Linked DNA regions of Rhinolophus ferrumequinum. The protein of the gene in region 2 purifies or fractionates together with the protein of the main gene of each other region. This does not show direct contact. Links are inferred from orthologs where the notes say so. Each region holds a gene or a part of one and is shown on either strand. Other genes may lie near its edges.

Region 1 (8,293 bases), on a different chromosome or scaffold from region 2:
TTGTACACTCATGTTCAGAGCAGCACCTTTCACCAAAGGCAAAAGTGGAAACAACCCAAATGTCCATCAACGGAGGTGTAGATAAACAAAATGTCGTCCGTCCATCCTGTGGAATATTATGCAGCAATGAAAAGCAACGGAGTAAATATATATTACAACATGGATGAACCTTGAAAACATGCTCCCTGAAAGAAGCCAGACACAAAAGGCCACATATTGTATGATTCCATTTGTAGGAAATGTTCAGAGTATGTAAATCCAGAGATAAATAAAATTAGTGGTCGCCTGGGGTTGGCGGAGGGAGGACTGTTAGGCTAAGGGGTCTAGGGTTTCTGTTTAGGGTGAAGAAAATGTCTTAAAATTGATTATGGTGGTGTTTGCACAACTCTTTCAGTACTAAAAGCCACTGAATTGTATACTTTAAATGGGTAAATTGTATGGTATGTAAATTCTCTTTCAATAAAACTGTGAAACAAAAGCAGCTGCAACAGCACTTGACACTTTACAACCACTAATCCAGTAAGATTCAATCAAAAGGCATTTAGAATGGGAGGTTTCTGAGTCTCTCTGGCAACCCCGTCACACAGTTCATTCCGCAGCCAACTCCTGAGGACAAACACGGAAAAGCTCCCCAAATGCTGTGACCAGCAAACGCTGTAGGGAGCAAATGCCACCACCTGGCACAGAAGATAATCAATTTTTTTCCACTTTCCAATTCTATTCAGACTTTCCTGCCCCCAAATTCAGGGCCTCCTCTTGTGACACAAACATCACTCCCCTTCCCCAAATATAAATCAAAAATTAGGCTACAGGTATAGGTGGGTGGCTCATCAGGGTAACTAAAAGTAAGGAAGAACAGGCCCTTTTGATGTCATCAGAACTCAAGTGAGCTCCACTGTACTGTTTACCTCCAGTGGGGAGTATTAATGCTTTTATATTGTACAGCTCAGTGTTCAGGTGCAGGAAAATAAATCGATTACTTCAACTGAAAGAGGACACGCCGCAATTAATCACAAATATGAGGAACAAAACTAGAACCCCAGCTGACCCATGTTTGCTGTGTTGTATTGGCTACAGTTAAAAAAAAGATTTGCAAAAAACCAATTACTATTCACAACCCTGCGCTGCCACAGATCGTGGTCACTGCTTGACCAAGAGATCTTTATCCTGGACCTTCTAGACACACTGGGCACAAGTTACAGACAGCACTATCTAGCCCATATGAATGAGTCCAGAGATCATGCATGTTTAAAAGTAACAAAAGTAAAACTGCTATGCCCCCATTTTACAGCTGTGGCAACAGAGAGGTCTACAGAGTCAGACTACAGAAGTGATCACACACCTCCAGGGGCTCTTTCTTCTCTCCAGGCAGACTCTCCCTCTCTCCTCCCTCCCTCCACCACACATAAACAAAACTGAAAAATATACACACTTGCACACCTGTTCTCTCTGATGCCCCACCGATCAGACTTCTATTTTTAAGGAATCTGGGGTTAGAATGAGTCAAATGTTTTTCGCTTCTATTAGGGGCTAAAAGAAATGCCAAGTGGGTGGTCTACCCACGGGAGTGACTCAACCAACGACTCCCAACTAGCACATAACCCTCATCCCCCAGAACAGGGTCTGAGCTCACTCTGGCTGAGGATGGGGTGGTCGCCCCAGCCCAGGCACTGGGACCTCATGCCTTGACACCTGTGATAAGGTGAGCCTTGTAGCTCCTCCCTGGCTGTGAATTCAGGAAAATAAACCTAAGGGACGTGCCAGGCACAGGGAAACCTGGGGAATGGAATCTGAGATCCAGAGGATGATGGAGACATTCCCTGGGACCCTAGTCCAAGACCCTACCACTGGGAGAAAGGAGTCCCTTTCTCCCACTGGGGAGCAGGCATCCAGTTCCAGGAAGTGTACGCCTGATACTTCTCATCCCCCAAATTCAAATTTAAAATACCTAAGTCGCTTTCACTAAACATTCACATCATTAAAAACAAAAGTTTCTGATGTGGCAGATCCATTTATGTAAAACCCACTATCACTGCCCACTGGAGGAACAAACTCAAACCCAACTTTTCCAAGGCAGAGCTGTGGAGTTACGTAACAGGTCGGTTTCAGCAACAGGCAATGCAAGAAGGAAAAACAAAACGCAACCTGCCTCTTGAATAATCGCAAAAGCCAGCGAATGTGGGGTTCTCTCCACCGGAGGCAAAAATTCCATTTGTGCTCCTGGAGCCTGCAGCCTCCGCTCTCCAGTCCCTGGGCCTGAGGAAATTTGACCCTAAGGCTCCGTGGCTGTGAGAAGGGGGGTGTCCAGATGACTGCGACCACAGGTGGGGGGTGTGAGGCACGGTTCCCATTCCGCCAGAGTGGGGACCCGGGCAGATCCTCTGAGATCCAGGCAGAGGGCAACTTGGGGACAAGTCACCCATGACCTGGCAGAGAAGTACGTAGGGCAGGTCACCTCGTACATGCTCGGAAGGAAACCTATGGGAAGTCACCTAAGACCTGGCCTGAGCTAGATCCGGGACAGTTCTTAGGCTTAGGGGGACTCAAGGCAGATCCCCGAGACGCAACCAGAGTGGGACCCGGAGCAGGTCTGCCCTGCGCCCAGGCGGTGTGTGGGACCGGGACTCGTTACTCTGAACCTAGCCAGAGTCGGGGTCCTGAGAGATTACTCCGCACTCGACCTGAACGGGAAACATGGGACCGGTCAGACCAGGCTTAGCCAGAGTGAAGGACCTGGGACAGGTTACCCCGGATCCAGCCGGAGTAGGGGATCCGGGGCAGGTCAGCCCAGGACCGGCCGGAGTCGGGGACCCGGGGCACATTGTTCTGGGCCCAGATGGAGTGGAGAACGAGGGAACAGGTTATCCCGGGCCCGGCCGGAGTGGGGGAGCCGGGGCAGGTCCCCGGGCGCCGAGGCCCGGCCGGGCTTCCGGCGCCGCCATGTGCCGCTCACCTGAGCGTCGAGCTGTCCGCCCGCAGCGCCAGGTCCCGCGCCGACCGGGCCCCCCGAGCCGCCACCTCCGGGACCGCCGGGGCCGCCGGGGGGCGTCTGCGTCTGGCTGGGAAGAGTGAAGTCGGTGAACTCGAACTCGGAGCCCTGCGTGTCAGCGCCGAGCAGCTCGGCCTCCTCGGTGTCCAGGAAGGTGAGCGTCTGCGAGCTGGGGCCGTACGCCTCCACACTCATGGTGCTGCCGCTCAGGGCCCGCTGGCCGGCTCCGCGCCGCAATCGAGCCCGCAGCCGCGCTGAGGCCTAGGCCGCAGGCCTCGGGCCGCCGCCGCCGCCGCGCCCGCGCCCCTGAACCGGACCGAAACGCCCGCCGCGGCACGAGCCGAGCCGAGAGCCGCGCGCCGAGCCGCCGCCGCTGCCTCGGAGCCCCTCGGCACCACAGCTCCTCTCAGAGCCGCCCGCCGCTCGCAACCCCCGGCAGGAACCGCCGCCGCTGCCGCCACCTCCGTGCGCGTGCGCGAGCCCGACGCCGGCGCAGGTGCGCGTGCGCGAGCCCGACGTCGGCGCAGGCGCGCGCTCTTCTCCAACCGCGCCCGGACGCCCAGAGTCGAGTGGGCCGACGGGACGCGCAGTGCGCACGCGCGGGGCGGAGGCGGGGCTATCAACTGCTGTCGCGGCGGCTGCCGGAGCACGTAGTCCCGCCCCAACTGCTGTAGAGGGGTGCTCGCGCGACGGTTGGTGCTGCTGCGATGGTCCACGCTTCTATTGAGCCCTAACTGAATGCCCTACGCAGATGGAGCTGGGGAAGTACACCACCATCTCCTGGAGACGCCCCCTGGTCCTCAGTCTTCCCATCTGTAAAACGGGGGTGTCTGCACACTTAATAGGTGCTCAGTGTGCAGTGGTTCAATAAACGAGTGGGGACAGCCCTGCAGGGATCCTGTTGCTCGCAGAAATGGTGTTTGCTGCTGCCTCAAACAATAATATTCAGAGGCAGTATATAGCAAAGCAATTGGGACCACAATCCAGACCTGACTACCTACCAGCTGTGTGACCTTGTACTAGTGATTTCACCTCTCTGAGCCTTGAGTTTCATGGGAAAGGGAATTAATAACCATTAAGATGAAGAATAAATGAAATACCAGTCACCCCCTTAATATTTATAAAGTTTCACGTGCATGGGGTTGGCTTTATTCATTATAAGGTCTTTTCTATGCGGAGAATAATGCCCCCACACAGTAGGTGCTCAGTAAAAGGTTGTCCAAATTCAGCCGCTGGTTTATGAGCCTAAATCTCCTTAAATTCCGAGCCTCAGGATCCTTTTTTGCAAAATGTTTTGAAGAACCCTCCACTTCCCTTTCTGTCCCAAAATTCTGGGGCCCTCTAAATACTTGAAGTCATCTCACACGGCTCCTGGTTTATTACTGATACTTTATGGTTCCACATTTTCCAGTATTCCTGTCACAACGTGATAAGAGCTTCCTTTTTCCTTCTTCACATCTTCTCTGGCCTCCTGTGCACTGAAATGTGAGGGTATAGAAAATGAATAATTAGATCTCCCCTCCTCCAGGAAGACAGTTTAAGGGGAAATCGGAACAAGCCAACAGATGGTTTCAATAAAATTCAAAGCCTATCCAATCAGCTCAGGTGCCTCAGGAGGGAGCCCAGCCCCAGAATGCAGTCGGGACCAGCTGACCCCCAGGTCCCAATGACATGGTAGCCAGGATTCCAGATGTGTTCCTTAGCCCTCCTTTCCCTGTCACCCCAAGACCTTCCACTCCCTTCCTCTGATAGAGCCCTCTTCATAGCCAGCATTAATCATAATTGTGATTAAATTATTGTCAGTGCGATTATTTGTCTAATGGACACCACTTTTTTGTAGAGGATACAGGCTGTTGAGTGCCCTGCCCAGAACTTTTTTACTGGTTGGCGCACCCCCATGCCAGCTGCTGCAAGTATTGACTGCTAAAGGCTCACAACCACCCCTTGTGAATTGTCCGGGAGCAAACTGTCTCACCAGGGAGGTCATGCCCCCTCTAAAACATATACACCCTAGGAAAGCCCATGCCAAGGACTGAATGGTATGCGGCACAAGAGGCTGAATCCCTCGCAACTAAATGGGACCAGTCTAATGTCATCAGGCTCCAGGGTTCCCCCCTCACCCGGATCAGACTGAGGCTTGATTCCAGCTGAGCCCACTTCCTTAACTTGTCCTGCGTCCTTCACTCCCTCACACATTTCCCCCAAACTCACACCCCTGAATCTCCATCTCAGGCTCTGCTTCTAGAGAACCGATCCAATCCAAGGCAGAAACCAGCTCTCTGAAGGGCAGTAACTGTGTCAGTCTTGTTTGCTGTTCTATACCCAAGGCCTCGTGCAATAGTGAGCACACAATAGGTTCTAAATAAATGTTTTAGGGGACAACTCTTGAGCCCTTGTCACTGCTTGGGTAGAACAACGAAGTGTCCTATTACCCATGTTTAATGAAGGGATGACTAAAAGAATTGTCACATTTAGTCAAAATCTTCGCTTCTCAGTCATCTCTGGCACATTTCTCCCACGATCCTTCCCAGAGATGGCTACCATGAAAAATACTGACACTGTCACACGCTGGTGAGGACAGGGATGAACCAGAACTCTTGTCCAGGCTGCTGGACAGACAAACTGGTGTAGCCGCTTAGAAAGGCAATTTGACCATTTCTTTAAAAGTTAACCGTGGACCCACCATGGGAGCCAGCTTTTCCCATCCTCTGTATTTGCCGGAGAGAAATGAAAGCAGACCTTGTACACAAAGGCTCACAGGAGCTTTATTTGCAATCATCACAAACTGAAAACAACTAGAAAGTCCATCATCAGGAGAATGTATGAACACACAAGATACTTCTCATCAATGAAAAGGTGTGCACTACTGACACTCTCAACAACACGGCTGTACCTCCAAGGCGTAATGCTGAGTGAAAGAAGCCAGACCCAAAAAGCTACATACTGCAAGATTCCATTTATAGGCTATTCTAGAAAGTGCAAACTAACTAATGTAAATGGACAGAAAACAGATCAGAGATTGCCTGGGGAGGGATAGGAGGTAGGCAGGAGGGAACATTTGGGGTGCTTGCTGTATTCACTGTCTTGATCAAGGTGATGGTTTCACAGGTGTGGATGTATATCAAACACATCGAATTGTATACGTTAAACATATGCAGTATTTGGTATGTCAATTATAACTCCATAACGCTGTTTAAAAAAGTAGTGTCCATGACAGTTAGTAGTCTATGAAAAATGTGTGTGTGAGAGAAAACTATAACAAAGGCATTCAAAGCTGGGATGCAGAGATCCGTGTACACGTATGTACACAGCAGCACTAGTAACAATAGCCAAAAGGTAGGAACAACCCAAATGTCCACTGGCTGATGAAGGATAAACAAAATGTGGTCTGTCCATTCAGTAGTATGTTATTCAGTCACAAAAAGGAACGAAGCACTGACACACGCTACAACATGGACGAACCTCCAAAACATCCTGCAGAATGAAAGAAGCCAGACACTAAAAACCTCAGAGTGAATGATTCCATATAAAATATCCAGAATAGGCAAACCCATAGCAACAGAAAGCAGATTAGATGTTAGCCGGGGCTGGGGGTGGGGGGGCGGGAGCTGGAGATGGGGGCTTATCGCTTAGTGGATACTGGGTTTCTATTTGGGGCAACGAGAAATTTTGGAAGTAGATAATGGTGATAGTTGCACAACATTTGGTGAATGTACTTAATGCTCCTGAATTTCATGGTTAAAATGGCAACTTTATATATTTTACCAAAGTAAAAGATTTTTAAAAATAAAATTCAATTAAAAAGAAAAATACATGTATGGCTATATTCTAAGCACATAGGATAGACAGTTGCTGAGTTTGGGTTAACCAGAGCAGGTCTGGATTCACATCCTCGCCCTGCCATTGGCTTGCTGTGTGACCTCTCTCAAATATCTTGGCCTCTCTGTGCTTCACCTGTGAAATGGGATTCCAGTGGCCCTAACACCCTACACATGTTATGTGAAGAACTTAAGGCAGTACCTGGCCACCAGCCATCAAACGCCAGCTCTTTGCGAATGCTTAGTCTTTTTTGCTTTGTCTGCATTTTAATAATTCATCATTGAAATTAAAAAAAAAGAAAAGACTAAAAACATTTCAGACCACACAAAGTCCTCTTGGGCCTTCAGCACAGGTGTGTGTTTCTCTCAGCCCAGGTAGATCTCAACCAGTCCTAGACCCATCCCACTCAGTGACTTAAGCCAACTTTAATTCACCCGCCAGCCCTAAATTCACAACTCTGCCCCACCTGCTGACCCAGCCCGTCCTCGAATTCCATGCCAGCCTCCAAGTCCGGGAAAATAGAATTCTTCTCTCGTACCAAGAGAGGTCCCTCAAGGGTAAGCAGCCGTGGCTGCCACAGGGAAATTCCACAACTTTGGGAAAAGGACATTTAGGATCCTGCAGCTGCTCCCCCAGTCCAGCCACTGGCCTCTTTGAAACCCTTTGTCGGGCTCCAGGCTCCCACAGATGTGGCCCTTGAAACCCCACCCTTGCTGAGAAGTGGCCAGCCCCACTGGACCATGGACTAGACCCCGTCTGAAGCTCCCCCAGGAACAGTGGGTGCTTGTGGGTTTCTGTGGGCCCCCCCCTCTGCAGCCCCATTCTTGCTTCAAAGGAGGCCCTTGTGGGACACGGATGTGTGGCCAAGGCCCCAGTGATGCTGGTGGGAAAAGAAAAATAAGTGTGTGTGTATATATTTTATAGTCTCCTCTGCTCTCTGAATGGTCTCTTTGAAGGTGATGATGGGTCACAGAAGGCCTTGGGTGGGGGGACAGCAGGCAGACACTTTGATTCTAATTCAACCACAGGTTGCTTTTTTGGGGGCACACTGGGGTGTCTGGAGAGGTGGGTTTTGGCCTGGCCTCAAAGCTCCAATTCCTACATCAACTCAAAGCTGCTATTGAGGGCAGCAGGGCCATCTAGCATCTCCCAGAGGAAGACGGCCCCTGGGGGCCCCCTTCATTCCCACACCAGGCTGCACGCTGGTATACATTTTGGGTGGAATTTCACTGTGGCTATTTTAGAAAGTGTTGGGGTGGGAAACTAACTAACACCTCCCGGTGGGCCTGACCCCGTGTCACTGTCCCCAATTCATAGATAGCTGTGTGGCCTCTTCTAGCAGGGAGATAGAAAATAAAATCATCAGAACTCAATAACTGGTGTAGTTGTGTTAGAAGGTAACAAAAGGATCAAAAGGAAAACGGACCGTGTCACACCCACTAGAATGGCCGTAATCCAAAACGGAAAATAACAATAACAAATGTC
Region 2 (7,671 bases):
ATAGCCAGTTTCACTCACGTGCGGTCAGTGTAATTTAAGAGTGTGCCAGGCAGAATGGCAGCAAGATACATGATCTACCTGGAAGCCAAGGCTAGAAGATGCTAATCCCAACTCAGCAAATGAATCATTATATGACCTTGGGAAAATTAGCTAGTTTGGTTTCTCTGCCTAAAATGACAAACAGTAATAAGCAGATACTTTTTGAACAGATCTTTAAAATCAGAGAGGGAGAGGGAAAAGAGGAAGAGAAGAGAGATGGAGATGGAGAAAAACTAAACATGGGGAAATTTACAAGACTGAAAATGTGCTGAATGATTGTTCTGGACTATATTAAAACTGTATTTGCTTCAGGAGGCATAGAGCCTAAGAATCAAAATATATTAATACAAGCAAATCAGGCATTATTACTTGTTTAGCACTTATAACAAACAAATGCTTTGTTAGATGTGAAGTTGAAACAACCATCCCTTCTCTCAGGTTTATGCAACAAAGAAAAAACATCCTAACATTCCAATTAATCCAACAAATACGTATTAGATCTTGCCTCTGGCCAGGCACTGAGAATGTGATGGTAAACAAGACAGACGTGGTTCCTGCTTCATTGAACTGACAAGACAGACAAAACGTAAGTAAACTAAAAAATTACAACTTGTCGATGAGTGTTATGAAGAATGTGGACGAAAAAGGGGTGCGGTAATAAATCTAACCGAAAGTAACGTGAGTGATCTGATCATAAATTCCTAACTGGGTAGGTCAGGGTACGAAGTCACGCCCCAGGCCTGCAACTTCTTTAGTAAAAAGTTTTTAAGCCAGCCCTGTCCCTTGTTCTTGTGCATCTAGGTTAACACACCTTTGAAATGCCAGAAGTAATCTTCTTTTCCTGACCCCTCAAGGAAGCACTTAATTTTGTTAGCTACTGTGTTTCCCCAAAAATAAGACCTAGCCAGACCATCAGCTCTAACACATCTTTTGGAGCAAAAATTAATATACGACCTGGTATTATATTATATTATATTATATTATATTATATTATATTATGTTATATTATAAGTAAGACCGGGTCTTATATTAATTTTTGCTCCAAAAGACACATTAGAGCTGATGGTACGGCTAGATCTTATTTTCGAGGAAACATGGTATTCTGTAACTTGCTTTCTCCCACCTTCTTGTAAGCTTCCTTCCATCCCCTCCTTAATTCTAAATGTATAAAAGAAGCTGCAAAACTGTCATTCTCCAGAGATTTAAGATGTTGCTTCCCAGCATGTCGTCAGTTTGGCTTGAGTAAATTCTTATAAAAATTCTCTACAGGTTTGGACATTCTTATGTTGATGAGAAAGTGAGGAAAGGGACGACAGGATATCACAGAGATACCAGAGAGAGGAATGTTCCAGAAAGGGGAATAACAAGTACAAAGACCCTGAGGCATGACTCATTTGGGGTATATATGGGAATAGCAAGGAGGTTGGAGGCTAGGAAGACTAGGGTGGAATAACTGAAAGGGCAATTCATGGAAAGTGGAGATGGAAAGGCAGCAGGAGGCCGGACAGAGGAATGTCTCCCAGGCCATGACAAGGACTTTGGATTTTACACTGGAGAAATGGGAAGTCTGTGACTAACTGACAAAGTTACACAGCTGGCAGATTTGGAACTAAAACACTGACCTTCTGACAAGGATTCTAGCCAGTTCTACCTTAGACCCCATGATTTTAAATGGAAAGTTTTTTCTTTTTTTACAAAGCCACCCAGTCAGAGAGACGTGGGGTTTGGATGATTGGAGTTTACCTTTTCATATTTTAAATTATTTGTATTTTAAAAAAAAATAATTGACATGAAACACAACTCAAAAGTGACCAAAGGTTTTCCAGTGCAGAGTTAAGACTCCTTCCCACCTCTGATCCCAGGCACCCACCTCTTTTTAGTCTCTTCTATGGCCTTAAAGGTGTTGGATTTTAAGATGACATTCATTCACTAACACTTATTGAGTCTACTCTGCCAGGGGCTGTGCCAGGTACTGGGGACCTAATAGACTAAGGTGAATCTCTGCTCTCTCAGAGCCTATTACCTGCAAGACACAAGAAATGACTTAATGGGGTGGCCAGGTGGCTCAGTTGGTTAGAGCGCAGTGCTCATAACACGAAGGTCACAGGTTCGATTCCCACATGGGCCAGTGAGCTGTGCCCTCCACAACTAAATTGAAAACAACTTGATTTGGAGTTGATGGTCCTGGAAAAACATACTGTTCCCCAATAAATAAATAAATAAATAAATAAATAAATAAATAAATAAATAAATAGAAATGACTTAACGTTTGATTGACAAATATTTTAAGGCAAAATCAGACCGCACAGTAAGAAAGGATGATTTTCAATTCCAAAATTATCACATTCTCTTTAATAAATTTTATGAGCTATATAGGGCATTAAAGACATTAACATGTTTTGGGGCACAGAAACGTGCATTTTGAAGGGATTTTCTATTCTGAATATGAAAACTCCCTAAAATATCTTGGTGTTCTTCACTAGTCTAGCCCTGCTCGATCAAAAATAATAAATAAAGGATGTCTTACATTATCTTAGGAAATCTATGTAAAAAAAAATAACTAATGAATAAGTCAGGGATGTAATGTACAGTATGGTGACTATAGTTAATAATACTGTATTGCATATTTGAATGTAGCTAGGAGAGTGGATCTTAAAAGTTCTCAACATAAGGAAAAAAACTGTAACTATTATAGTGACCGATGTTATCCGGACTATTGCAGTGATCGTTTTGCAATATATACAAATATCAAATCATTATATTGTACACCTGAAACTAATATGTTATACGTCAATTATACCTCAATAAAAAAATAATAATTTTTAGAAAGAAAAAATCAAATTCAGTTTCAGGTGCGCCTTTGAATTTTGTACCTATTCAAAAAGTACTTACATTGTATGTGGTTTTTTTTTTTAATTAGGGTACAGATTGTTCAAATGTTTGTCTGAAAGTAGGTGTACAGCTGTGTCTTCAGGAGGAAGAAAGGCAGCCAGGCTGTAGAGAAAAGGACCGTGGGGTAAAAGGGAGGAGTCCCAGTATTCTTATACCAGATCCCGACTCCTGTGGATCTTTAAGCCAGTGAGTTCTCCACCAGGCTTCAATTAAATCATCTGTCCAACGAGGAGGACCACACTTTCTCTACCTCACCATTGGAGTGTGAAATGGAAGGAGCTACTAACTCCTGAAGCACTAATTCAAACATTACCTCCTCCATGAAGCCTTCCTAGACTTTCTTGAGGAGATGGAGTCGGTGGTTCCATCCTCTAGGTTCAAGAGAACCATCTCTAACACTGTCCCAATTTCCTTGCATTGTCCTACTGCTTGGGGTTTCTCCCAGAGCCAGGTAGTTGTCTTAAGCCGTCTTTGAGGCTCCCAAAGGCCTACCAGTTCATATGTAGTTAGGAGTTCATTAAATACTTGCTTAATGAATAATACCTGTTTCCTTGTTTGCATTTGTACATGCTTCTTATGTGATTCTGAAAAGAATGTAAGACATGAATCCTCTTTCCATTAACAAATCGTCCTGGGATGTAAAATCATAAACAATACTTATGTTATGGGGGTTTTTCATTTCAAAAAATTACATTCCATTGGAGTATTTTTTCGATTTAAAAAAATTTTTAAGGGGGGGGGGGACACAGAGCTCCCTCCAAGTCTCTACACCTTGTTCTTCTCTAGCTAGTACCTAGCTCTTTAAAATGCCTTAAAATGTCCAAGAAATGTTTACTAAAAGAATGAGCTATTTTTTAAAATCTTTAAATGATGCACGACAAACTCAAGCCTTCCCAGGCTCTTCCCAAGACAGGATGTAAAGATTTACCTGGGATTCAGACGTGGAAAATAAGGAACAAAAATGGATAGCAAGACACTCCTGTGTAGTTACATGAGGATTCGTTTGGCTTTTTCCAAAATTTTCTTTCAGAAAAATACCAAATTGCTAACGGTAGTGATCTAGTGAGCTCTTAGATCTGGGGTAAGTTTCGGGGTCTCTCCCCGAAGAGAGGTCTCTACCTCCCCGCTTCTCTGTGCTTTCTAAACGGCCCGGGGAGCCTTTCATTGCCACGGCGAGGTTTTCGTTCTACCGCCCCGGGCCCTTCCCGTGAGCCAGCCGAAGTAGGCCCGCGTCAGTCTCCAACCTCAACCGGCAGGAGCTCGGAGAAAACTCGCGGGCACCTTGTTCCGGACCTCGGGACAGTTTAGTCCGCGGAAAGGAAGCGCCTGGACACCCGCCTGCCAGCTCAGCCGCATTTAGGTGTACGCGGAGACAGATGGCTGGGGACCTAGGACCCAAGGACGCCGGAACCTGGTGCCCGGGGGATGAGCGCAGCGGAGCATAATAGCTAACGTAGCGCCCCGCTGCAAGGCCCAGCGGAGAGGCGGAAGTTGCAGGCGCTGACGCACTGGGGGAATTTTGCCTCGAAGGCACCTTCCTGTCCGCGACTCCGCCCCCTCGGAGGGGCTCGGCTCCGGAAATCAAGATGGAGTCGTTGAGTCGAGCTGGGCAGGAGATGAGCTTAGCGGCCCTGAAGCAGCACGACCCCTACATCACCAGCATCGCAGACCTTACTGGTCAGGTCGCTCTATACACCTTCTGCCCCAAGGCCAACCAGTGGGTGAGTGCCGCTAGGACACTGAGGTCGCCCGCCGGGCTGCCGCCTCTTAAAGGGGCCGCGCGGACCACCCTGGGCTGGGGGCGATGCTGGAGGCCAAGGCGGCATAGACGCCTCCAGGGGCTGGAGGAGAGCCTGGCCGGCGCCTGAAGGATGTTGGGGGCCCGGGATTGGGAGAGAGGTGCAAGAGAAGTAGGGCCCAAAACATCCGGGGGAAAAGCCGATAGAGGGGAGGATTGGAGGAGGGTCAGTCTCCCCTTAGGGTCGGGTTCGGGGATGTGGGCGACCTGCCTTCTTCGCAGATGTGTTAGAGGATATGAGACCGGTGGGGTCAGAAAGATGCCTGAAAGATGGAGGGTTTGAGGGGCATTAATTAAATTACATATACATAATCTATAAAGTAAACATTCCTCCCTCCCCCCCACAAACACGTAAATAAGAGCCCCTTTCGCACAGGTATTTGGATTTAAAGCTTGAAATCCAATTAGTTTCAATTCTTGGAAAAGAGGAAGTGGGGATAGTCCGTCTTTTATCGAACTACACTGTATTTCCAGAGTTTTGGAAAAGAATTCAAGGCACTTAGAAAAAGGGCTCTCACATTAGTTGGATTCCCTTGAAACCTTTGGAAAAGAGACCCTGTAAATGTGTCTCGTTCCACCTATGCTGCTGGTGATGTCACCTCCAAAATCTCACATCAGACTAAATACTTTTAAGCTTTTTTTTGCACGCGAGGGGATCCGAAAAGTTACAGTCTGTTCACTGAACTGATTTGTTGACCCATTTGAAGCTTCGTTTGTTGTTTAAAACTACAATTTTCTGTTTTCTAGAATTGACCCTTAATGAACTCATTCAGTTATAGGCTTTACATTTACACTTAGAAAATAATCGTAAATATTTGATGGATTGAATTCATAAATTATTGATGTTCACATTTCAGTAAGAAACAAAATTCTTATGCTAACAAAACTCTGAAAGATGATCATCGTAGTATGGTCCTTTACAATATAATACAGATATGTTATATTTATACAGTAACTTTGTGAAAATCATTTGGCATTTTTAATTCAGATGAAAACAGTTGTCAAAATATCTTGCTTTGTATTCTTCTTTCCTTGATCTGGAAGAGGTATGAGAAGCCACAAAGAACAAAATTACAGATTTCTTCTTTTTTTAAGTGTAGCCGTTTTAGACATTGCCTTAATTTGAATTGTTCTGAATAATTTTTCTTTTCTTGGTCTACACATAAATTTGTGAAATATGGATTGCAGACAAATGTTGAAGACTTGGGCAAGGATTGATTTACTAACCAGCTTTTCTAATTTTTCACAGACTTTGAATTTTTTGGAATGTTAATTGTGGAGTTCTTTAAAAATAGAAATACAAGCCATAATAACCTGAATTGAGAAATAAGCTGCCATTGTTTGTTCATTTGGATTATGGCACATAGAGCATAACTAAAATCTTTTCTCTCTTTGTTATTTTACAGTGAGTTGTGACTGCATAGTGTTTTGTTTGGGCATGTTTTCTTTCACTGTGAGACAGTTGATTACCAATTTCTTATACTAATAACAAAATTGAAAGTCAAGAAAAAGCCTCTGAATCCTTAGGAAGGAAAAGCTCCATGATGATACATAAACTAGGGCAATACTCCTAGAAGAAATCAAGATAATAATTTTTAAAAAAAATTTTATCCCAACAAATTCAATTTGATAAAGTTTTCTAACAATTTGTTGATTACATTAAAATATTTGGGCCCTATCTGGACTGAAATGCAGACTAATATGGTTATTTGTTTTTGTTTTTTAAGATATTGTCACTATATTTAAGACCTAAATACACTCTTGTCACAGCAAATTAAAGAAGGTTGTGAGTTGTACTTTCTTAATCAAAACATTTCACTTTAAGCTAAAAAAATTTTTTTAATTGTTTGTAAAACCTACAATAATTACATTAAGCCAGAGAATTGTTTCAGTATTCATGATGCTTCAACAAAGTTCTAAAAATAACAAACTAGTTGTGTTTGACAGTAATTCTTAACTAACCACATTTGATACTCAATGAAAGTATACCCAAATCCCCCAATGATGAAACAAAGTATCCTATAAGATAAAATTTCCTTTTTTTCCCCTACTAAATTTGAGAAACTTTACAAGTGAAGAAATTGCTGTACCAAGGATCTTGCTTTAAAATTTAAAAATCTGGGAGGCCCTATGGCTCAGTTGGTTAGAGCGTGAGCTCTGAACAACAGGGTTGCGGGTTTGATTCCCACATGGGCCAGTGAGCTGCACCCTCCACAACTAGATTGAAGAAAACGAGCTGCCGCTGAGCTTCCGGAGGGGCGGCTGGATGGCTCAGTTGGTTAGAGTGCGCACTCTCAACAACAAGGTTGCCGGTTCAATTAAAGATTGAAAACAGCAACCGGACTTGGAGCTGAGCTGCGCCCTCCACAACTAGATTGAAGGGCAACGACTTGGAGCTGATGGACCCTGGAGAAACACACTGTCCCCCAATATTCCCCAATAAAATTTATTTTTAAAAAAATTAAAAATCTGGCTAAAACGTTTTTGCTTTAAAAAGTGAAAGCTAATTCTAGGTTTTTCTCCTTTAAAATTTGTAAAAGAAAAATGCTGCAGATACAGGCATGTTGCTGGATCAAACATTGCATGTACGTTAATATGCATCAATAGCATGGAAAGGATACCAAAAAATCTGGTAACAGTAGTTGTGGAGAGAGAGACTTACTTGACCTGTTCAAAAGTGATTAATTTTAGAATAAATAAGTTGATCTTTTCTGTTTTGTTTTGTTTTTGAAAAAGCATTGAGCTGGTCTTTTTATTTTTTTCAATTACAGTTGACATTCAGTATTATATTAGTTTCAGGTTTACAGCATGATGGTTCGACATTTATATAATTTACAAAGTGATCCCCCTGATAAGTCTAGTACACACCTGGCACCATACATAGTTATTATAATATTATTGACTATATTTCCTATGCTGTACTTCATATCCCGTGTAAATAA
Region 3 (7,843 bases), on a different chromosome or scaffold from region 2:
ACATGGTGAGATGAACTAGAAGTTTCTTGAAACAGAAGCAACTATAGATGTCTTCAGAAAAATGCAGGAGCAAAACAAAAGACCAAGACTCTTGAGTCTGACGTATTCCTAAGTGTAAAATCTTGAGCTTAATGTTGGAGTCCCTAAAAAGCTTCGGGAAATGCCTTCTATCCAATTTTCTTTGGACGGGGTGGGGTTACATTCAGTGCAGGAACTGCTCTGCAGAGTAGTTGCACCTGAGCCAACGTACAAATGAGCAGCTTTTTCATTGGACTGAGTTTATTTCTATCATTTGGTCCCTCTCATTGGGAAATTAAAAAAATAGTCCAAAACATTGTATGTTTTCATGAGAACCAGTTTTAGAATTACAAACTTGTAAGTGCAAGCTTTTAAACAATCTAATCATAATTTAGGAAACAATGATGTAATGACTCAAAACAGTATTCCATTATGCCAGACACGTGAAAAAGTTGGCGATAAATAAATTTCAATATGAAATAACACAAAAAATACAATGGGCAACTCGTATTATCTAGAGTATAGGAGAAGTCCACAACTAATACATACCAAACTGATCAATGCTTCTCAAAAAGCCTATAAGCGTCCTTCCATCTCGAAGAAGGACCAAGTGCTTTTCTGGGAAAAGGAAAAAAGATCTTTAAAAATGAAAACTGTTAGCATCAGTGAGTTTACAGGGTAACAACAAAAATAAAGTTAACAGCAGTTTACTTCTACCACTTCCTCTTCCCATGTATTTAAGGTGGAGTTTATTGGGAAATTAGAGGGAGGACCAAGGCAGCCTAGGTTACAAGATTAGTGGTGAAAAAAATCATAGTGTGGCAAAGTAGAAAAAGGACTGGCTGAGTAGTCAGGAAGCCTGACTGGCTCTAGACGTTGATGTTTGACAGTTACACCTCCTCAGTGTCATGTCAAGTTTCTGTATCTGCAAATTGAGAAATTTAGTCTGGATGATCTTTATGATCTTAATTCTAGAATTGTTTCCCTTCAACTTAGAAGAGCTTCTATTTCACACTTTGGAGTCAGGGAAGATTTTAAATTAAAAACAATACCTCAGACATGTAAAATGAGGATGCTGATAATAAGCTAGAGCAAAAATTCAATAATATTTATTGAAAGCTACGTGCTGTTCTGGAGCCTCTATATACAGTACTGAATAAAACTCAGAGATTCACCAACCTTATGAACTTATATTCCTGGTGGAGGAAGGCAAACAAATAAAAAAATGACCTATGGTGATCACTACTATGGAATAATAAGTAAGATAGCAGGATAGTAGGATGAAAAGAAAGTAGCTACAGAAGAGAGGGTGGCTAGGGAAAACCTCTCTGAAGAGGTGACTTGGAGCTGACTCTGAAAAATGACAATAAGCCAGTCACTAGAATAACTAGCAAAGATCATTCATTTGTTTCTTTAAGACCACACATAAAGTACTTCATAGATGTAGAACAGAGGAACAGGGTGCTTCTTCCCGGAAGGAATTTATAATTTTCCTTGGGCTATAATTAAGTACCATAAGAGAGCACATCTTAATTATATGAGACTGAGAGAAATTCGAGCTGGAGGCTGTATCTGAGTTGGTTCTTGAAAGTTAGATAATTTTTGTTCATGGGAAGAGTGACAGCGAAGGGGATGGTTTGGGAAATCTGTAATTTAGATAGGAGGAAAAAAAGGGCTATGTATCCATATGTTTGGAGAAGAGTTGACGGCATGGAGAGAAATAACAGGAACGAAGTCAGAAAAAAGAACTGGGAGCAGGTTGAGTCTGGGTTTGATTTTATAGGGAACAAGAAAACACATTGAAGACTGAACTGGCAGAAAAGGGAGAGCAGCTGAGGCTATTTCCAGTGTCTGGAACATGAAGAGACCTGAACCAAGGTAGGGATGAGAAGGGCAAGGATGGAAGTACTAAAACTGTGCAGTTTAAAGTAATGGGATTTGTCAACTAATTGAGTTTGTATATGCGGGTAGGTGTGAGAGAGTGTGGTGCTAAAGAAATAAGTTAAGCAGCGGTAGGCATTTTGCGTCATCATCAGGGAGGACCACTTACCAAAAGTCTGGAGTAAACAAAGCAAGCTCAGGGTGGAAGATTATTAGCTGTTTGTAATTCTGAAGTGCTATCAGGACACTTAGGTAGAAATGTCAACAGATAATTGGAAATGTAAGACTGCCAAAGAGGTCTGAATTAGAGCAATTTCGGATTGCTCTAATCCACAAAGAGGTGATATAATTATTAAAGTCCAGGAGATCTCCTAGAGATTTAAAGAAAGAAGCAGGTCAAACATGGAACCTAAGAGACCATCTATTTTAGGGAACAGTAAGAGGTAGAGAGGTAAGAAAATCAACAACTACTAGTATTGAAGAAATCCAGAGTACAGAATTAAGAATCCAGTGGTAATAGTTGCAGTGCTGCAGAGGGGAGGGGAAGACTCAGAAAAGTGCCCTAGACTGATGCCTTTTAAGAATGCAGCTTCACTAGTGTGTGGACAACAAAAATCAAATTGCAGGTGGTCAGGACGAGTCAAAATGGAGATGACTCAAAAGGTTTGGGGGTAAAGATATGAAAAAAGGGATGGGAGTTTGAGGAGACACAACTGAAAAAAAAAATTGAGATGGACAAAAACATGTGAAAGGAAGGATCCAGGAGGAGAGAGAAAGATACAAGGTGTGAGAGAAAAAGGATATTAATGGCAGAAGGTTCCAGAAACAGTGAGAGGAAAGAGTAATAAAAGACAAACTGAAAGGAAGGAATACTTCCTACTCAATGAGAGGACGGGTGAAAATACAGAAAGACTAAGGAGAGAGGAGGCAAGTGTGTGGGAGGTGCAGTGAAGAGTACATATGAAATGGTTTCGAACATTTCAGTAAAGGAGGGGGCCTGGAATCTACAAACAAGAGGTTAGAAGGCTTAAGAACAAAACTTATTTTTAATAGAACGACAGGATGTGTTAGGGCCTCAAATAATTCAGATACATAAAAAGAGAGGTGAGGGCAAAATGGCATCCTCAGACAACTTAAGATTTCATCACACATTAGAGATAGGCTTGTACAGTGGTTAGTTACATGTACGAATTTGGTCCAATTTACACTGTATTTCCCTTCAATAGCAAAATCACTAATTTGGATTTAAAAAATGATCTCAGACAATAAAAAGTTTAATTACACACTCACTCTAATCTGTATATATAGTAACTGTAGAGATTGTTGTAACTTGTTTGGAACTGTGTGTAAACCATTTTGCAGCAATTACAAGTTAATGAGACAGGATCACACAAAACATTTACAAAAATGTTGCTTGAGGAATAATTCACAGATGACAGTTTAGCAAAAGGACAGACTATATATATATGTATATGTATATATATATATATATATATCCTCTTTCATACAGGACTGAATTCCTCTTCAGGATAATGATTAAGAATAAGGGAGGTCTTCTTAAGTAAAAGCAAAAGAAAATTGTTGAACAGAAAAAAAAGAAGTGAATCAACTCTGCCTTTCCAGAAAAGTCAATACCTTGTCTGGCAGTGGTCTCTGCTACCATAATTTGAAAGTACTAAAGACCCTTACGGTAAAAGAATATTGCAAATGACTACACAGCATAAAGCCTATGTTTACTGCCAATAAGTCCAAATGCTATTAATATTCTCATTTCTTGATGAATGCTTTAAGCATTCTCATTCATCCACCAGTAACAACCTGGTACTTCAGCAGCGTCCCTGGGAAGCAGGACTGAATGGTACAGCTTGTGGTTGACCAGCCGGTGCAGGCTGCGTGGGGCAGGACGGAGGTAATAGAGGTCGTAGGCTAGGAGGTAGGCAAAGGGTGTGTCCCGTGGCTCCTCCATCCCGTGGAGCATGTCAACACCAAACACCCAGAACTGTGCTCAAATCACACCGCCCCCCGCCCCAGACTCGTTCTACGAGCTTCCTCGAAAGAGGCACCCTTCGGGGAGGAAGGGTCTCACCCCAAACTGATTTAACTCACTGTCGATGTCCTCGATGAGGCTGGCGGTGCCTGGCATATAGTTCATTTTGAACTGAGATAAGACTGCAGTGTATAGCTGCGGTGGGCCAGCGTGTGCAACACCTCCCTCCTCCTACCGGAGTCGCCGCCTCGTCGGAACCGGGACAGTAACCCGGACCGGGACCAGCGCGTCCGCCCCGGCTTTCAGCCGCAGGGGCCTGCCGGAAACTCCTCCATAATATCCCTACCTACTTCCGGTACCACGTGCCCATCGTCTGGAAGAGGCGGGACCGTCGTGCGGTCCGGGGACACACTTTCCCCATCTGAGGAGAGGGAAAGAGGAATCTACATGGCATAGGTGATGGGAAAACGTAGTCTCCCTTTCAAGGAACACGGTGCAGCCCCTCGTTTTCCTGCTTCCCAGACCCCCAGAGTCACGGACCTTCGTCCATCAACTCCCAGGCGTCCGCCGCTGAAGGGGCGGTACCAGGCCTGGGATTGGCTGTTGTCGGCCGACCCCCTTCATTGTTGTCCATTCCCTGTCGCTGGCAGGGGCCTGCGCAATGAGCCGGCCGTGGGGGGCGGGAAGCGCTTCGGGGCAGCGGTGCCCATGTCGGCCTTAAGGCGCTCGGGCTACGGCCCCAGTGACGGTCCGTCTTATGGCCGCTACTATGGGCCTGGGGGTGGAGATATGCCGGTGCATCCACCTCCACCCTTATATCCTCCTCGCTCTGAACCTCCTCAGCCTCCCATTTCCTGGCGGGTGCGCGGGGGCGGCCCTGCTGAGACCTCTTGGCCAGGAGAAGGCGGAGGAGGCGATGGCTACTATCCCTCTGGAGGTCCCTGGACGGAGCCGGGTCGAGCTGGAGGAAACCACCAGGTAAGCTTTGCGCCATCTGTCCTAGGAGGTTCTGGGAGGGGGTTCTTTGGGAGTGAGGTCCATTGGGATTAGTATACCCCCTGAGTTCGTATCGGATCGGGTTTCATATTTGTTTTCCTTATTGGGGGGTTTGTAGAAATAAGACTGGGCTCGTGGGTGGGGAGATATGCTTGTGTTCTGTTTGCCCCTCCTTTTCTGCTTCGACCATAATAAATGTCTATTACCATTAAAAAAGGAAAAAAGATCCTGCGCTGACTTGCTAAGCTAGGTAGAGGATGCGGAATGTCGCCTGGGAACGATGTTGGGCTGAAGTGACCCGGCTCTGCTTTTTGAGCTCTAGCAATTTATCCTGCGTGGCTCGTCAGGCCTGCTCTCCCCCCGAGAAGGGAGGTGGCTGCAGCCCCCGCCGTCATTCAGCAACCTCTTCCGCGGGGAAGGAATTTAGGAAGGAGGTGGGGGGAATGTGGGCATTTATTTAGCCCTTTGTCCCTAATGCTTTGCCTGGGATTGACTCAACGAATAATCAGCGTTGGGAAGTATTTTTACGTGGATTGTTTTATTTAATCTTCACGGCGACTGCAACATAAATGTCATTTATGTTGATCCTAATAGTGACCCTATTAAAGAACTGTTGGCTCTGAGAGGTTAACTCAACCTGCTCAATATAGTCGGACCTATAACATTTCTTATATTCTTGCCAGAAACGTACAGTACTTCTGTTTTGTTAATGCAGTATTTTTCGTAGAGAATTATTACACAATGTGTGTGGGGGGGTCACATCTCTCTTTCAGAAATTATAACACCCTCATTGTTTGAAAATGTAGTAGTGAAATTCCCATACATTGCTGGTGGGAATGTAACATGGTTCAGTGCTTTGTAAAGTAGTTTGGCAGTTCCTCAAAATATTAAGCACAGAGTTAGCATATTACTCAGCAAGTCTGCTCATGGATATACCTGGGGGGGGGTGCCCAAAAAAGATTTATACACATTTTAGGATATGTTATCTGTGCTCAAGCAGTAGTTCGTGGTAATCAGAAGTGTCTGGACGCTGATGGTAACCATTTTGAACACCTCTTGTAATTGCAGAAGTCAAACGTGACTTGTTTCATCTTTTGTTATCCGTATATGTTGAGTATTACAATTAATACAGTTTTTCCCTTTTAAAATGTGTATACATTTTTTTGGCACGCTCTGTATATGCAAGAGAATTGGAAACATATGTGTATTAAAAACTTGTATATGCATTTTCACAGCAATGTTATTCATAATGGCCAAAAAGTGGAAATAACCCAAATGTCCATCAACTGATGAATAGGTAAAATATGGAATGTTCGTACAATGAAATTATGTAGCCATAGAAAGGAGTGAAGTACTGTACATACATTCTACAACATGGACGAACCTAGAAAACATCATACTACGTGAACAAAGCCAGTCAGATAGACCACATATTGTATGATTTCATTTATATAAAATGTCCAGAATAAGCAAATCTGTAGAGTCAAACATTAGTGCTTGCCAGGGTTTTGGGGACTGGGGACATTGGGAGTGATAGATAAAAAGTAAGGGGTTTCTTTTTGGGATGATGAAAATATTCTGAAATTAGATAGTGACGATGATTATACAACTTTGAAGATGCTAAAAACCATTGACTTGTACACTTAAAAGGGTAGGTTTTATGGTATGTTAGTTGCATCTTTAAAAAGTTGTATGAGAAAAAAGCATGTAGTAGTGAGAGGTTAATTATGAAGAGAGTTCCATATTTTCTGTCTAAATCTAGAATAATTAGCCTGTGGGACTTGAATCCCTTGGTAGAGTAGAGTGATGAACTGTTTGGTCTATAAGTAGGCAAATTAGACCAAAGACCAAGGGAGAGGAGAGGACCACTGATGACTTCTACTTGGGCTTGCAGTATTATCAAAACAAAAGTGTGTTTTAGGGGTGAGGTTAGAGAAGTTAAGATGTTAGTATTGTGTAGATGTAAGGTATGGATGGAGCATAGCGTGTACATAGGCTGGGTGATGGTGCTGCAGTAGTTGGAGATAAAGCTGGGATGTGTACTGGACGTTCATAAACCATTTCAAGAGTTTATCTTCAGATTGATGTTTCTGAAACTTGAAAAGTATAGGATTATAATCTATGCAGCAATAGAAAATTAATACAAAAGATTTGCATGTTGCAAATGTTTTTTTTTCCAAATTTGTTTGTTTTTTAACTTTATTGTGGTTGTGATATATAAGTTTTACATTTTTTACATAATCAAATATGTCAAACAAACAAAAGGTATAGGAGCCTTTTAAAACCGTACTACTCAAAAAGTGTGGTCCTTTGACCAGAAGCTTCAGTGTTGCTTGGAGGTTGTTAGAAATGCAGACTTTCCTGCTCCAGACTTGCTGCTGCATTTTAATAAAAGCCCCAGGTGATTTGTATGCATGTTCACATTTGAGAAGCACAGCTCTATAGAATTGGATATATTGAGATAATGTTGCAGTGAACCACTACAAAAACTTGACTCTCTACATTTAAATATGGCAGGAGAAAAAACCCAGAAATCTACCTTTCCCTGTTTTCTTTCTTTTCTTACTTGGTTAGCTGTACTTGGCAGCATTGTAGTTTGATCCCTGAACTAGCAGCATCTGCATTACTTAGGAGCTTGTTGGAAATGCTGTATCTCAGGCCCTGCCCCAGACTTACCGAATCAGAATGTGCATTTCACCAAGATCTGTAGATGATTTTCATGTTCTCCCAGAATGAGAGAGGAGAGAGAGAGAGCGAGAGAGAGATCTGACATGGAAGCAGAGGCGCTGATTGGATTATAACCTAATCTCGGAAGTGATACACCATCATACTGGTCATAGAGACCAACACTGGTACAATGGGAGAGGCGAGGTACAAAGTTCACAAGGATTGTGAATACCAGGGGGCAGGGATCATTGGGAGCCATGTTGGAGGAGGATTATAATGGCAAGGAAGGGGGAG

What was found.
Region 1: the proteins of DCP1A (region 2) and UPF1 purify together in Homo sapiens (co-immunoprecipitation; 4 studies listed by BioGRID and IntAct, with this or other methods). This does not show direct contact. The link is inferred for Rhinolophus ferrumequinum from reciprocal best matches to the Homo sapiens genes DCP1A and UPF1.
Region 3: the proteins of DCP1A (region 2) and BAG4 purify together in Homo sapiens (affinity purification with mass spectrometry; 4 studies listed by BioGRID and IntAct, counting the BioPlex papers as one, with this or other methods). This does not show direct contact. The link is inferred for Rhinolophus ferrumequinum from reciprocal best matches to the Homo sapiens genes DCP1A and BAG4.

What each region holds. Positions count from the first base shown.
Region 1 is NC_046301.1:51,445,619-51,453,911, reverse strand, and holds the start of UPF1 (regulator of nonsense transcripts 1), read right to left. Parts: upstream 3,304-8,293; 5' UTR 3,185-3,303; coding exon 2,954-3,184; intron 1-2,953. UniProt on the Homo sapiens protein: RNA-dependent helicase required for nonsense-mediated decay (NMD) of aberrant mRNAs containing premature stop codons and modulates the expression level of normal mRNAs.
Region 2 is NC_046300.1:48,755,969-48,763,639, reverse strand, and holds the start of DCP1A (mRNA-decapping enzyme 1A), read left to right. Parts: upstream 1-4,437; 5' UTR 4,438-4,517; coding exon 4,518-4,652; intron 4,653-7,671. UniProt on the Homo sapiens protein: Necessary for the degradation of mRNAs, both in normal mRNA turnover and in nonsense-mediated mRNA decay. Removes the 7-methyl guanine cap structure from mRNA molecules, yielding a 5'-phosphorylated mRNA fragment and 7m-GDP.
Region 3 is NC_046287.1:61,425,216-61,433,058, reverse strand, and holds the start of BAG4 (BAG family molecular chaperone regulator 4), read left to right. Parts: upstream 1-4,540; 5' UTR 4,541-4,594; coding exon 4,595-4,864; intron 4,865-7,843. Other genes in the region: U6 snRNA-associated Sm-like protein LSm1, read right to left, coding at 568-636, 4,006-4,051. UniProt on the Homo sapiens protein: Inhibits the chaperone activity of HSP70/HSC70 by promoting substrate release. Prevents constitutive TNFRSF1A signaling. Negative regulator of PRKN translocation to damaged mitochondria.